Linked DNA regions of Elephas maximus indicus. The protein of the gene in region 1 interacts with the protein of each later gene in a pairwise test. Links are inferred from orthologs where the notes say so. Each region holds a gene or a part of one and is shown in the gene's direction. Other genes may lie near its edges.

Evidence for each region. The genes of interacting proteins can lie anywhere in the genome.
Region 2: the proteins of PIN1 (region 1) and THAP7 interact in binary tests that used the Homo sapiens proteins (3 or more experiments, as listed by UniProt). The two-hybrid records come from large-scale screens. The link is inferred for Elephas maximus indicus from reciprocal best matches to the Homo sapiens genes PIN1 and THAP7.

What each region holds. Positions count from the first base shown.
Region 1 is NC_064821.1:28,010,634-28,018,084, forward strand, and holds the start of PIN1 (peptidyl-prolyl cis-trans isomerase NIMA-interacting 1), read left to right. Parts: upstream 1-4,442; 5' UTR 4,443-4,484; coding exon 4,485-4,542; intron 4,543-7,428; coding exon 7,429-7,451. UniProt on the Homo sapiens protein: Peptidyl-prolyl cis/trans isomerase (PPIase) that binds to and isomerizes specific phosphorylated Ser/Thr-Pro (pSer/Thr-Pro) motifs.
Region 2 is NC_064840.1:21,509,972-21,517,569, reverse strand, and holds THAP7 (THAP domain-containing protein 7), read left to right. Parts: upstream 1-4,728; 5' UTR 4,729-4,774; intron 4,775-4,933; coding exon 4,934-5,013; intron 5,014-5,389; coding exon 5,390-5,545; intron 5,546-6,052; coding exon 6,053-6,193; exon of another isoform or gene 6,194-6,300; intron 6,301-6,385; coding exon 6,386-6,950; 3' UTR 6,951-7,087; downstream 7,088-7,598. Other genes in the region: tubulin alpha-3 chain-like, read left to right, coding at 3,491-3,787. UniProt on the Homo sapiens protein: Chromatin-associated, histone tail-binding protein that represses transcription via recruitment of HDAC3 and nuclear hormone receptor corepressors.

The sequences.
Region 1 (7,451 bases):
AGCTTGACTGCTAACCAAAAGGTTGGCAGTTCGAATCCACCAGCTGCTCCTTGGAAACCATATGGGGCAGTTCTACCCTGTCCTGTAGAGTTGCTATGCGTTGGAATCACCTTGACAGCAGTGGGTTTGTTTTTTTTTAATATGCGCTTTGCTGGTTTTGCTTATCTGAAATACCCAGCCTCGCTAGAGGTATGGGCTAGCAATTCTGAAACTACCTACCTACCTGTGTGTGTGTGTGTGTGTGTGTATACATACACGTTACAGTTCAACAAATAATCTATTATAGATGAGAGCCACGGTTTCTTATTGCTAGAAGTAAAAGTTACAAATCAAATGGAGGAAGGCTGGAATGAACCCTGTGGGACTGGATTAAAGTTGGAGGTATCAGGATGAATTTATAACTGTGTTTACTATATATGCAGACAGAAATATAGAGATGTATACGTGTGTGTGTATGTATATACATACACACATACATACATTTCCTTTTTTTATCTACGGAGCAGGACCAGAAGCAGTGACACCCCAATAGTGATGACCATATCTTGCACTCCAATCTTGGTTTCTAAATACAATCCTCCAATAAAAAGAACTAGGCCTTCTGGGAAAAACGAGTTGGTTCCAGGGCTTGGGCAGGGAAAATACAAGATGAGCCTGGAGCAATCTGTGGTGCCAGAAAGTAGGAAGTGCCCAAATAAAAAAGGATGGGAGTGTGTTGAGAGAGCACAGGAACCAAACTGAAAGGGCTCCAAATGGCCAAACCTGGAACAACTTGAGCAACAAAGTAATGATGGTATTGAATTATAATCCAAAGAATAAAATAATTTTGAGCCCATTTTAACTAAAAAAAAAAAAAGCTGCCACTGAGTCAACTCCGACTCATGGTGAACCCATGTATGTCAGAGTAGAACTGCTTCATAGGGTTTTCAGGGGTAGATTTTTCAGAAGTAGATTGCCAGGCCTTCCTTCCGATGTACCTCTGGGTGGACTCGAACCACCAGCCTTTTGGTTGGTAGCCAAGCAGCTAACCGTTTGTACCACCCAGGGACTTGAATATCCAAAAACTAACTGAAGAAATAAATGTGGAGAAAGGAGAACCTTTTCTTACAGGAGGATTCCAATAAATAAATGTGGAAGTATAGAAATGAGAAATCACCATTGGACACCACAGCACTAATTGCCATAGGCAAGATCCACTGTTAAAAAAAAAAAAAAACCAAACCCAGTGCTGCCAAGTCAATTCCGACTCATAGTGACCCACTGTTAGATGGTAAAATTTTGTGGTCAGAATTTAAGCAGAAGTAGGATATTTGCATAATCTTGAAGTATCTGCCTTAAATATTAATTACAAAGGGAAAAACAGTAAGTTTAGATACCGCCTTAAGGAAATGGTCAAAGTTAATATATGTGGTATGCAACCCCTGAAATGACTCCTAATGATCCCCACATTCTGGTATTCACAACCTTGTATAATCCCCTCCTCTTGAGTGTAGGTGATGGGATGCAATTTCTGAGATAGGTTCCAAAGAGACTGGCTTCCATCCTGCTTGCTCTCTTGCTTTCTTATTTGTTCTGTGATGAAAATCAGCAGCCATGTTGTGAGCTGCCTTATGGAGAGACCACCAGCCAAAGCCAGTGAAGAATATAGCCCTCAGTCCAACTTCTTGTGAGGAACTGAATCTTGCCAACAATCCCTGCCCCAGTCAAGCCTTCAGATGAGACTGCAACCATCTCTGCCAACACCTGATTACAGTCTGTTAAGAGACCTTGAGGCAGAAGCATCCTGCTAAAGTGCCTGGACTACTGACTCAACAGAAACAGATAATAAATGTTCATTCACTAAGTTGTGGGTGATTTGTTATGTGGCAGTCCATACCTAAGACAATCAGTAACACATTTCAAAATCATCTACCACTTGATATGATGCACCAGGAAGGGCACATTGCTTCTGGTATTCTTCCTGGTGATACATAATTCAATTTAATTGTGAGAAATTAGACAAACACATCATGACAATATTGGAATGAGAGACATTCTACTCTTCAGAAGAGTCTGTCATGAAAGACAAGGAACTGTCACATATTGGAGGAGACATGACAATGAGAGATTCTGAAACCAAAAAAAAAAAAAAATATTCAAAAACCTGGGGAAATCTAGAAAAAAGTCTGTAGTATAGCTAATAGTATTGTACTGATGTTTATTTCTTAGATTTGATAATTTTTCTATGGCAGGTTTTCTCAACCTTGGCATTATTGACATTTTGGGCTGGATAATTCTTGTATGTAGGGGTGCTGTGTAGTGTAGGATGTTTAGCCAGCATCTTTGGCCTCTGTTAGGGATTGAATTGTATCCCCCTAAAATGTGTGTCAACTTGGCTAGGCCATGACTCCCTGTATTGTGTGGTGGTTCACCATTTTGTCATCTGATGTGATTACCCTTTGTGTTGTAAATCCTAATCTCTATGATGTTAATGAGACAGGATTAGAGACAGTTATCTTAATGAGGCAGGAGGCAATCTACAGGATTAGGTTGTACTTTGAATCTCTTTTGAGATATAAAAGAATCAAGAAGAGAGGAGAGGGACCTCATACCACCAAGAAAGAAGTGCCAGGAGCAGAGTGCTTCCTTTGGACCCAGGTTCCCTGCACTGAGAATCTCCTAGATCAGGGGAAGATTGATGACAAAGACCTTCCCCCAGAACTGAGAGAGAAAGCCTTTCCCTGGAGCTGCTGCCCTGAATTTGGACTTCTAGACTCCTAGACTGTGAGGGAATAAATTTCTCTTTGTTAAAGCCATCCACTTGTATTTCTGTTACAGCAGCACTAGATAACTAAAACAACCTCTACCCACTAGATGCCAGTAGTATCCCCGCCCTCCACCCCCCCCATCTGTGACAACAAAAATGTCTGAAGACATTGCCAGCTGTCCCCTGGGGGGCAAAAGTGCCCTGGTTGAATACTATTTTATTGTTATGTAAGATGCTAACAGAAGGGAAAGCTGGGTGAAGAGTATTTGGGAACTCTAGTACTGGGTTTGGTTTTGGTGGTATGACTTGCTTTTTTCACCCAGCATCATTTAAACGTCACGTCAAACTGATGAACCAAACCCATTGCCATCAAGTCGATTCCAACTCATAGAGACCCTATAGGTCAGAGTAGAACTGCCCCATAGGGTTTCCAAGGAGTGCCTGGTGGATTTGAACTACTGACCTTTTGGTTAGCAGCTGTAGCACTTAACCACTGTGCCACCAGGGTTTCCATCAATCTGATGAGGTATGTATTATTTCTCATCCCCCTTTTGTAGATGGGGAAGCTGAAGTGCAGAAGCTAAGTAATTTGCTCAAGGTCATAGCAAGTGGCTAAGTGGAGTTTTGAGTCCAAGCAGTGTGGCTCCAGGGTGTGCTTTTAACCTTCTATCATATCCTGCCTCTAATTTGTTCTGGACTTGATTCCCTATGCGTTCATGTCACTGTGCAACATTTTTTAAATGGTCATTATAGGGTACACGCTACAGATAACTGTCATTGAACTCTTCTCTTAATGTCTGACTTCTGTATCTCTCTCCCGCCTGCAATTCCCCAGAGCTGAGTCTCCAACCACCTACTCAATGCCCCACGGGCACCGCAGACTCGATTTTAAACTGACTCAAACTGAGCTCATCATCCTTCCCTCTCCGCCCTACCCACGCCTTCCCCCCCCCCGCAAAGTGTTCCCACCTGAGTGGCAATGCCAGCACCCATCAGCCACCCAGGACGAGGGAAGATTGAGATTGACAGAGAATGTGATGTAAGTAGGTCCCAAAGGAGATGTAAGGTGTTTGGGTCAGTAGCATAGGGAAGTGTTAGCCTTGCACAGAATAAAAGGGGGACGGGTTAGCTTTGGACATCTGGAGGAAACAGGTGGGACGAGGGAGGATGGAGAAGCCAAATTTAGGCTTCTGGATTCTTAGCCACTCCTCACCAAGGTAACTGGGTTGCTATGGCAACAGGACAGTCAGCACCGCAACTCCCAAGTACCTCGTCGGCTGCCGTTATCCCCATACTAGCCAGACACTTCCGCTTGGGTAGAAATCAAGGGATTGCCAGCCTTCAGGAATGGTTTACGAAGGCGGGAATAGCCACTGCGGTAGCCAATCAGTAAGCTCTTTCCTGCCCGAGCGGGCTGTGCGGCGAAGGACGCAAAGGAGTGGTCGGGACTTCTTTGGAGCTCGCCTAAGGGCGTTGAGAAGGGCCGGCTTGAGTCCCTTCCCTGCCACTTAGGGGCCGAGGGGGCGGGGCCCAGATAAGATGTGGGAGGAGCCGCCCACCCTCGCTTCTGTCCAATAAGAAGCCAGGAAGGGAGTCCCGACGGTTGGGGTATCCAGTGAGCGTCGCCCCAAGGTCCGGGTGCGGGGGCGCACCGAGCCAATCGGCGGTGGCGGCGGGCGGGCGCGGGAGACCTAGGCGGTGCGGCGGAGGCGGAGCGGGCGCTGCGGCAGGAGCGAAGATGGCGGACGAAGAGAAGCTGCCGCCCGGCTGGGAGAAGCGCATGAGCCGCAGCTCAGGTGCCTCAGGGGCTGGGGCTGGGGTAGGATCGCGCGGGCCCATGGAAGCAGGGATCGAGCTTGCCCTTCGGGCGCGGCGCCGCCGCTTCTTTCCTGTGGGGTTTTGGCTTCTCTGCGTCGATCCCGGGGAACGGCCCGGGCACATTCGGTGGCTGCTGTGGGCCTCAGGAGTGGGGAAGCTGAGGCACGGCGGCGCCAGGGAGGCTTAGCGCGCTGAGGGGTGGGTGAGGGGCCGGTGAGCTCACACACTTCCCGGGCGATGGCCCTGTCCCTGCCCACCCGGCCGACACGCCCGGGCCTAATTCGGCTGAAGTCCCGTGGGTGGACATCTTTACATCCCTCCGGGCCCGGAGGCATCACAGGGGCGACACCCCAACCCCATCCACAGGATGTGGCCCCAGCGTGTTTCCCGACCCAGAAGCCATAACCCCTGGCGTCCACATCTAATGCTGAGTCTGCAATGTCCCCCGTTATCCTGCTTGAGGCTGGCCCCTGTGCCCTGGGCTGAATTTAAAGGTTATCGCCAATAGTAGGCCACGTTTATCTCTGCTCCAGGCATTGTGCCAAGCATTTTAAGCGTGTTCTCTCCAAATCGCCACAACTGTGGGAGGGAGGTAGTTGTTACCTCCATTTTGTAGGTGAAGAAACTGAGGCCAGAACTTAAGGAACTCGCCTGAGGTCATTCAGTTCAGGGAGCGTAGACTGGGCTCCAGAGCTGCCTGCCCACAGCCACTTCACTGCAAGCTCTGGAGGAGCAAGCCCACTTCCTGGTTGTGTTTGGGGAGTCACTGCATTGCCTCAAAGTCTCTAGTAACCTCAGTAATAATTCCTGTTTACTTGGAGTGTTTGGAAACCCTAGTGGCATGTGGTTAAGAGCTATGGCTGCTAACCAAAAGGTCTGCAGCTCGAATCCACAATGCGCTCCTTGGAAACCCTGTAGGGCAGTTCTACTTGTGCTATAGAGTTGCTATGAGTCAGAATCAACTCGATGGCAATGGGTTTGGTTCTGTTAGAGAGCTTACCATGTGTCTGGCACTCTGGTGAGCACTTCGTGTGCATCATCAACTCTCCACATTAATCCCATGAGATTTGATGTCCTTATTCTCTCACCCCCACTTTTCAGATGAGAAAGCAGAGATTCGGGGAGGTAGAGCCCATTGCCACGATTTTAGAGTTTAAGTCAGTGGCTCAACTGGATTTGCCCTCAGAGCCCATGCCATTGCCCACCCTGTTCCTGCCCTGGCCTTTGACTGGCACCTACAGCATAAACCTCATGCTCCGCCCACCTCTGGGCCCTCATTCATGCCATTTCTATTCAGCTGGACCCTGACAGCCTTCCTTGGGGGTGACAGCCGGTCCTTAATGGTGATGGGCCCAAGTGTGTGCATGGAACAGAGTAAACAGTAAGGAAGTGTTACCTGTTACTGCCATTACTAAAGATGGGGAAGGCGAGGCCTCAATTTTGTCATCTATAAAAGGAGATGATAACAGCTATCACACTGTTGATGTGTTCCAGGCGCTGTTTTAAGCCGTTTACAGATGTGAGCTTATTCAGTCTTTACAACAACCATACAGTCAGGTATTGTTATGTCCATTTTACAGGTGAGAAAACTGAGGTCCAGGGAAGGTAGATCATTGGGTAAGTGGCAGGGCTGGATTTGAACCCAGACAGGCGGTCTGCTGAATGAATGCTTTGAATCAGTCTCCTGTCTCCCAGGTTTGCCTTGTTCCGCCACCCTGGGTTATTTTCCTCCTTGAAGTTACCAGCGACTGAAGTTATCTTATTTGCTTGTTTAGTGTCTGTCTGCCCCCACTTAGAATGTTAGCTCCATAAGATAGGTGTTAAAAATGGCATGTTAGGGGCATCTGACCTTCTCTAACTTCGTGAGAGGGAGAGAGAATTGCCATCCACATCAGCCCCACGCTGATTCCTATGAGGGTGGAGGTCAGACATACTGCCTGTTTCCAGTCTTTTTACCAATTCTGACACCAGCTATACCTCCGACAGCACTCTCTGCTACTGTGCTGGGTTTGATAGTCCATTGCAGTGGCTAAACAGAACTCACAGATCATACTCATAGTTATGGGGTGTATTAGAGAAGTAGTTGTTGTTAGGTGCCGTCAAGTCAGTTCTGACTCATAGCAACCCTATGTACAATAGAACAAAACACTGCCTGGTCCAGTACCATCCTCAAAGTCGTTGCTGTTTGAGCCTGTTGGGTGCTCAGGCAAGTGTTAAACAAAGCTCTTTAGCTCTGCTAATAAGTACCCAGAGGCACTCCACTCCTCCAGGAAGGCTCCTGCCCAAAGGTGCTTAGCTCTCTCACTCCGTGGGTCAGCACACCCACTGTAACCGTATTACTCCGTGGGCTGGGAGGCCCACTGCACCATCTTGCACCAGCCTCCTGGTTCTTCTGCTGTTTCTCTGCTGCCACTTCTCGCTAAGTTGTACTTTTATAGCTCTCTATCTTTGTCTGTTGGGTCTAGGAGATTCTCAGCATGCTCTGCTCCCATTTCTTATTTTTGGTGGTAGTGAGGTCCTCCCTTTCCACCTATGGGATGGCTCATTTTAAGCCTAGTGGAATGGCAAAACTGACCAATCCCCTTGTTAGGGTTCCATACATCTTATTTACATGGTCCCACCCAATCATGTGGTGAGAGTTACAAGACCATGGCAAGAAAGGCCATATAAAAGCAATCCATCACGCTACAGCAGGGTTATGTCCTGCCAAGTTGGCTCCAGTGTCCCCGGGCCTGTGGCACATGGTGGGTGCACAGTTTATTTGCTTAATGAAGGCATGTCTGTACCCTGGCCTCTGGTTAGGGCTCCAGGGTGGCATCTGCGAGCACAGCCCTAACTGAATTCCCATCTCTCCTCCCTTCCAGGCCGGGTGTACTACTTCAATCAC
Region 2 (7,598 bases), on another chromosome or scaffold:
TTGGAGGTTACAGGTAGGTAATGAAAACTTCCATTCCACGTGTCTAATTACCAAGCTTCTCAACTAGAACAGACATTTTTCTTCTAGTGCGACTTTGGAAGGGGAGAACATCCAAGGCCCTCAGCTGGGAGGCACTGTGGGAGATGTGTGCTATTGTCTGGGTTTCTACCTGGCTGAGTCTCTGGCTTTTGTGAGCCACTAGCAAGGCCAGACTGTGGGGCCGGTACAGGAAGTCGTAGTCCCCTCCTGTCCCCACAGAAAGGTCCAGACCCAAATGAACCTCTGCTGTGAGTTCTTTCTTGTCATTCTGAGCGTGCTTTCACCATATACTCCTTAACAGCCATTTACTCAGGACACTTACTGTCAAGGCGTCTTTGCAATGTTTAAAAATGTTTATTATAATATGTATGTGGTAAAATGTTAAAACAATGTAGAAGCCTGAAAAACTGAAGTCCTCATCCCCTTCCCAGAGGTTTTTGTTTATCCTTCAAGAGATGCCAACAGACACAGACTAAGGATGCCCTTTCCTTTCGAGCAGGTTACAGATTCAACTCACTACATATACGTGGCCAGAAAGACCAGGAAGATGGCAACACTCCCACTTGGAGAGGCCAGCTGGCCTTAGAGCTGCAGGGTACCCCTAGGTCAGAGTGAGAAGTCCCCTGTGCCCTTCTCCCTGCCACTCCCAGCTCTTCTGGAGACTAGGTGCTGCTTACCCATCGGGGCAGGGCAGGGCAGCGTCACCACCTCAGCATGGTCCTTTGTTTTTTATCCTCCATTATGCTGTTCCCCTTGCCATCCAAGGTGCCAGCCTGTGTCTGTTACTGTGTTGGTTTTTTTGAAGCCTAAGAATAATTACGTAGCATTCTTGAACTTGCTTTATTTTTTTTTTTTTTTTGGCTTTAAAGAACCGTTCCAGAGGCTAAAAGTCCAAATCAGGGTCCTGGTCGTGCCAGTTACTTCTTTGGACCTCTCTCCTAGTTTCTGGTGTCTGCCAGCAATCCTTGTTGTTCCTCTGATTGCAGACAAATCTTCATGTGGTGTTTTAGTCATCTAGTGCTGCCATAACAGAAATACCACAAGTGGATGACTTTAACAAAGAGAAATTTATTTTCTCAGTCTAGTAGGTTACAAGTCCAAATTCAGGGTGTCGGCTCCAGGGGAAGGCTTTCTTTCTCTGTCGGCTCTGGAAGGAAGGTCCTCGTCCTCAATCTTCCCCTGGTCGAGGAGCTTCTCAGGAACAGGGACCCCATGTCCAAAGGATGCGCTCTGCTCCTCGTGCTGTTTTCTTGGTGGTACGAGGTCCCCAACTCTCTGCTTGCTTCCCTTTCATCTCTTGAGAGATACAAGGTGGTACAGGCCACACCCCAGGGAAACTCCCTTCACCTTGGATCAAGGAGGTGACCTGACTAAGGGTAGTATTACAATCCCACCTTAATCCTCGTGACATAAAATTACAATCACAAAACGGAGGACAACCACACATGGCCTAACGAAGTTGATACACAGATTTTTGGGGGGATATAATTCAATCCATAGCCTGTTTGTCTATTCTGCTTTTTCTGTACCACTCAGAAATGATGTTTAGGACCCACCCTACTTTGGTATAGCTTCATTAACACAACAAACGAAAACTATTTCGAAACAGATCATATGTACAGGTACAGGGGTTAGAACTTCTGAATTTCTTTTGGGGGACAAAATTCAATCATAACATTAGTTTTTAGAATAGTAAAATGGTTAAGTGCTCAAGTGCCAGTGTCTGGCCAACAGTATTTGTATTTTGGCTCTACTACGCATGGCTCTGTGACCTTGAGCAGACAACTGACCAATCCTCTCTGATCCTCCCTGAGAAATGGGGAAAAGTTACTGTCAAGCTCAGTGCCTGGCACATACAGCTGCTTTACTTTTTGCATAACAGTGCACCTTGGAGACTACAGAGTTCTTTTTAATGACCATAGATGGTGTTTTACTGTGTAACTGTATTAACTCTTGATGATGATGTTAGTTGCTGACTCTGACACAGGGCAGCCTTATGTACAACAGAACAAAATGTTACCCGGCTCAGTATCATCATCACAATCACCATCATGTGTCAGTCCATCATTGTGGCTACTGTGACAGTCCATCTCACTGAGGGTCTCCCTTGCCCTCACTGGCCCTCTACTTCACCAAACATGATGTCTTCCTCTAGTAGTTGATCCCTCCTGATAATGTAGCCAAAGCAGGCGAGTCAAATAACGTGCTTTTCTGATCCATAAGGTTTCTATTCACTAATATTCAGAATTCGGAAGTAGATAACCGGGTCTTTCTTTCTAGTCTCTTAGTTGGGAAGCTCCACTGAAAAGTTCATGGGTGACCCTGCTGGTTTCTGAAATACTCGTTGGTATAACTTCCAGCAACACACAAGCCACCACAGCATGACAAACTGACATGATAATTTAATTCTCTATGATAGACATTAGTTTCGAGCAGCGCTTGGAATCAGTTTGGAACTGTTCAGTAATTGCCGACTTAAATGAGGGCATTGTTGCATAGCAACCAGGTCTCTTGCCTTGGATTTTGACCAAGTGCTCCACTCAGAGATGATGTCTAACAATGCTGCTTTGAATGTGTGTTGCTCTCTCCACAGTCCTGCCATTAATCCAGTCTCCTGCATGGGTCCCAAAATTTTCAGGAGCCTGATGCTTTTCTGTTAAAAGGTGATCTCAGGGAGTTTTGATTCAAGGTTTTGAAAAGCGTCTCAGGGCAATAGCCTCAAGGAGTCTTTTGGTCTCAGTGGTCCAGTTAATCTGGCCATTTTTATAAATTTGAATTTTGATCTGCCTTTTTCTCCCATTCAACCAGGATCATGTATTGTGACCCTGGTTGGGTAAGTCAGTGGTGGTAGCTGGGCACCATCTCGTTTTTCTGTTCTCAGGGTAGTTGAGGTCATGCTTGTGTAGGCAATTAGCCTTATAGACTTGTTTCCTCTCTGTGATTTTTGGTTACCTTCATATTCTTTGGCTCCTGACAAGTAGAGACCGATAGTTATATCTTAGATGGCTGCTTGCAGACTTTTAAGATCCCAGATACTACTCACTTCACTGGGATGCAGCACATGAACTTTGTGAACTATATTGTGCCAATTGATGGAGTTGTCCCATGAGACTAAGGTCCTCTTCCTACAAACTTAGAAAACCAATCCCACAAAGTGTTCAGTTATGTCCGAGAAGTATCAGTAATTATGTCTTCTTTCAATATATGTGCCTGCACACACATATCTGTACTCAACGTGTATAGATACTACGACCTGTGCACACTTACGTGCACACCTGTACCTACCCGTATACTTATTTGCCTATACTCATACATATGTAATCATATGCTGGTTTTGTGGTCATCTTTGTGTCTACAGTAATTACTTAAACTGGACCCACAGCTTTTTTTTTAAGCTATCATTTCTGAGAGCAGTATTAACCTTATCTTCTGTCTTCCCCTTGTGTGACAGGTGGGCATCAACTACCAGCCCCCCACCGTCGTCCCCGGGGGAGACCTGGCCAAGGTGCAGCGCGCCGTGTGCATGCTGAGCAACACCACGGCCATCGCCGAGGCCTGGGCTCGCCTCGACCACAAGTTCGACCTCATGTATGCCAAGCGCGCCTTTGTGCACTGGTACGTGGGGGAAGGCATGGAGGAAGGCGAGTTCTCGGAGGCCCGGGAGGACCTGGCGGCGCTGGAGAAGGATTATGAAGAGGTGGGCGTGGACTCCGTGGAAGCAGAGGCCGAGGAAGGGGAAGAATACTAGATGGAGTGTGGCTGGCAGCCATTTATTTGTATCTCCCCGACTGTAATTTACAGATTTATCTATTAAAATTTCTGTATTGAGGCGTCCCGTCTCTTGTGCTTCATTTTGACAAAATTCCCAATCCAGATACCTGGCTTTTCAAAGAGATTTCTAGAGGGGAAACATCCGTTTATTTCTTCTCAAAAGAACAAATTAAGCATGTCTGTGCACATTTAATTGGTAACTTACATTACCTCCAGAAAAGCCTCAAAAGGCTCGGTTGAGGGAATCGGAAAAATGCTTTACTCAAATAATATAAAGTCTTTAGCTCGCCATACTTGGTGTTCTCGGGACGGCAATCTGCCTTTTTCGCCCAAAGAGAGCTTTCTGAAATCATGGGATGACTCTGCACCCCGGCTTGGCGGCGTGGAGCCCGGTCCCGCCGCTTCTCCAGGGCAGCGCAGACCCAGGTCGGAAACGCCCATCCTTCCGGCCTCCCCGCGCTCCTGTCCGAGGCTGCCACCGGCGCCCTCCAGCCCATCACACTTCCCTGTAACTAGTGACGGCCGCCCGACGCACCGGCGTCCCTCTGCCTGAAGTCCCTGGCCGGTATCCCGGAGTAAGCTCTGAGCACTGGTGTCTGCCAGGGGGTTCCGGGCAAGCGTCCCGGCCGCTTCTCGTCATCGGGGTTTCTTCTGTGCAGTTAGGGACCCTCAGCTCCCGTGGGTGCCGGTGCAGTAGGCTGTGCGCCCCAGAGCTGGAAGGCAGCCGCCATCACGCGCCCCTCGGTCGGCGCCGGGCAACTCACAGATCCGCGCGGGCGCCGAAAAGACAGCACCGGGAGCGCGTTTGCCGCGCGGGCCTGGCCCACTCGCCAGCCAGCCACGCCCGCTTCCCGTCCCGCCCACAGCCGAGCGCCGCGCGCGTCCGCTCCTCCGTCTCTATGGTGCCAATTTCCGCCGCGCGCCACCCATCGCGAGACTTCGGCGGCGCAGCAATGGCGACACCGTGAGTGCAGCTGACAGGAGTTCAGAGGCCGGGCTGGGGCAAGATAGGGCCGGGGGAGCCCCGACAAGCCAGGGCCCCTGGAGCGGAGCGGCGGTTGGGGCGCGAGGCCCCTGCGGGCCCGGACAGACGCCCTTGCCCAAGCTCCTGCCTCTCCCCCAGATGCCGCGTCACTGTTCCGCCGCCGGCTGCTGCACACGGGACACGCGCGAAACGCGCAACCGCGGCATCTCCTTCCACAGGTCAGCGCGCGTGCGTGCTGCCGCGCGAAGGCTCGCGTGCGCATGCGCTGGGCTCGCGCGCCGCTCTGGGCGCCGGCTGCGCATGTGCCCCGGGCCTCCGTCAGGCGGGGGCGAGGCTTGAAGTCACCGGTGAGAGAGGGTGAGGGGGGCGGTGCCGGTGGGACCGCGATCTGTAAGGGAAGGAAGGGGCGGGAGGTGTGGGCCCACTGCTCCCTGACTCTCACCGCTAGGTGACGCTGAACCAGCTGCTGGCCTCCTCGAGGCTTCACTCCGTGCCCGGCGCTGTGCGCGGCGCCTGCCCTTTCTGCCCAGGGCCCCGGGCGGCATGAGCCCGCGCGGCCGGCGGCCCGGCGCTCAGGGGTGTGTGGCTCCGCAGACTTCCCAAGAAAGACAACCCGCGACGAGGCTTGTGGTTGGCCAACTGCCAGCGGCTGGACCCGAGCGGCCAGGGCCTGTGGGACCCGGCGTCCGAGTACATCTACTTCTGTTCCAAGCACTTCGAAGAGAATTGCTTCGAGCTGGTGGGAATCAGGTGGGCCTCCTCGCGGCCAGCGGGGTCGGGCGTGGGCTGTGGGTGTGGGAGAAGCCGGGCGGAGGGTGGCCGATGAGGAGGGCCCTGGCGCAGCGAATAAGGCGAGGCTCCGAGGGCGGTTCGGCCTCGTCCAGTTGTCTTCTAACTAATGAAGACGGGATCATCGGGCCAGTGACGCAGAGAAAAAATATTAGTCCTTCCAGAGACTGTTGTTTAGAACTTCAGTACTGTCAGCAAGCGCACAAATTAAAGAATCCCCTGTGCTGCTCACCCCGGCCCTGCTGGGGAGTCTCTCGCCACATTAGCTCCAAGGAGGCCTGCAGGGGGGAGATTGTCTCACTGCCGGCGCTTGCGCTCCCCAGGCTACCTATCGCAGTCTGCCTCCCTGCCTCCCCCAGGGTGCCCAGGGACCCTGCCCCGGGGTGCTGGCGGGGCACCCTGCCCAGGGCAGGTCCGCCTGTGGGGGCAGCATCTGCTCTCAGCTCATCCGGGCTGCTTTTCCCATAGCGGGTATCACAGGCTGAAGGAAGGGGCGGTCCCCACGATATTTGAGTCTTTCTCCAAGTTGCGTCGGACATGCAAGACTAAGGGGCGCAGTTACCCACCTGGTCCTCCTGAAGTCAGTCGGCTCCAGCGATGCAGGAAACGGTATGTGCTACAGGTGGGGGCAGCCCCGCTGCACTCCCTTACTGCAGTCTGAGGGCCTGGGATGTGGGGTGCCTGCTGGTGTTCTGAGAGCAGTGTCCTGAGCCCAGCTGTGTGTGGGGGCGCTCAGGTGGGCTAGTGAAATGAGGTCTGGCAGGGCCTTGGCCCAGCTTGTCAGGTTCTTTCTCTCCCTAGCTGCTCTGAAGGCCGTGGACCCACAACTCCATTTTCTCCTCCTCCACCTGCTGACATCCCCTGCTTTCCCGTAGAAGAGGCCTCAGCACCTGCGGCTTTGCCGACCTCTCCAGCTGGGAGGCTGGAGCCTGGCCTCAGCAGCCCCTTCTCAGACCTCCTGGGGCCCCTGGGCGCCCAGGCAGATGAAGCAGGCTGCAGCACCCAGCCTTCTCCGGAGTGCGAGCCGGAGCGGCAGCCCTCCCCTCTGGAGCCTCGGCCTGTCTCCCCCTCAGCGTACATGCTGCGCCTGCCACCCCCCGCGGGGGCCTACATCCAAAATGAGCACAGCTATCAGGTGGGCAGTGCCCTGCTCTGGAAGAGGCGGGCCGAGGCAGCCCTCGATGCCCTGGACAAGGCCCAGCGCCAGCTGCAGGCCTGCAAGCGACGGGAGCAGCGGCTACGGCTGCGCCTCACCAAGCTGCAGCAGGAGCGGGCGCGGGAGAAGCGGGCACAGGCTGACGCCCGCCAGACTCTGAAGGAGCACGTGCAGGACTTTGCCATGCAGCTGGGCAGCAGCTTGGCCTGAGGGATGGGCACTGGGCTCCAGCTGACAGAGAGGCAGTGCCAGCCTCCTCTCCCTCTGATTCTGCCCAAGAGGGACCCAAATGAACTGTGTCCACCAGACCTGACCAGATGCCATAATAAAACAGATGTGAGAATGAGGCCTGCTGTTTGGCTTCAATGGGGCTGGGGGACCCCCTTGAGTCTCAGGTTCATTCCCCAGGAAACGGCTACCAGGCAGTGGGCTAGAAGTCCTTGCAGCCCCCAGAAGGCACAGACCCTGGAGCCCAAGCTCTTGCCTGCCTGGACTAGAAACCCCATTCTCTTCCTGCAGTTCCTCCTCACGGCTGCACAGGTGGACAGGTAGCAGCCCACACCTGTCCAAGAGGCAGGGACTCCAGGGTGGGGCTCTGGTGCCTGTTGCCCACCCCCCCCCATGCCCCACAGAAGTCTCTGAGGGAACCCAGACAAACCTATTGCTATTGATTCCGACTTATAGTGACCCCATAGGGTTTCCAAGGTCGTAAACCTCTACGGAAGCAGACTACTGCTTTTCTCCTGCAGAGCCACTGGTGGTGTCAAACAGCCCAACTTGCAGTTGCCAGTCGATCACTTTAATCACTGCCACCAGAACTCCTTTCTGAAAGGATACAGTGGTGTAACGGCCAAGGCA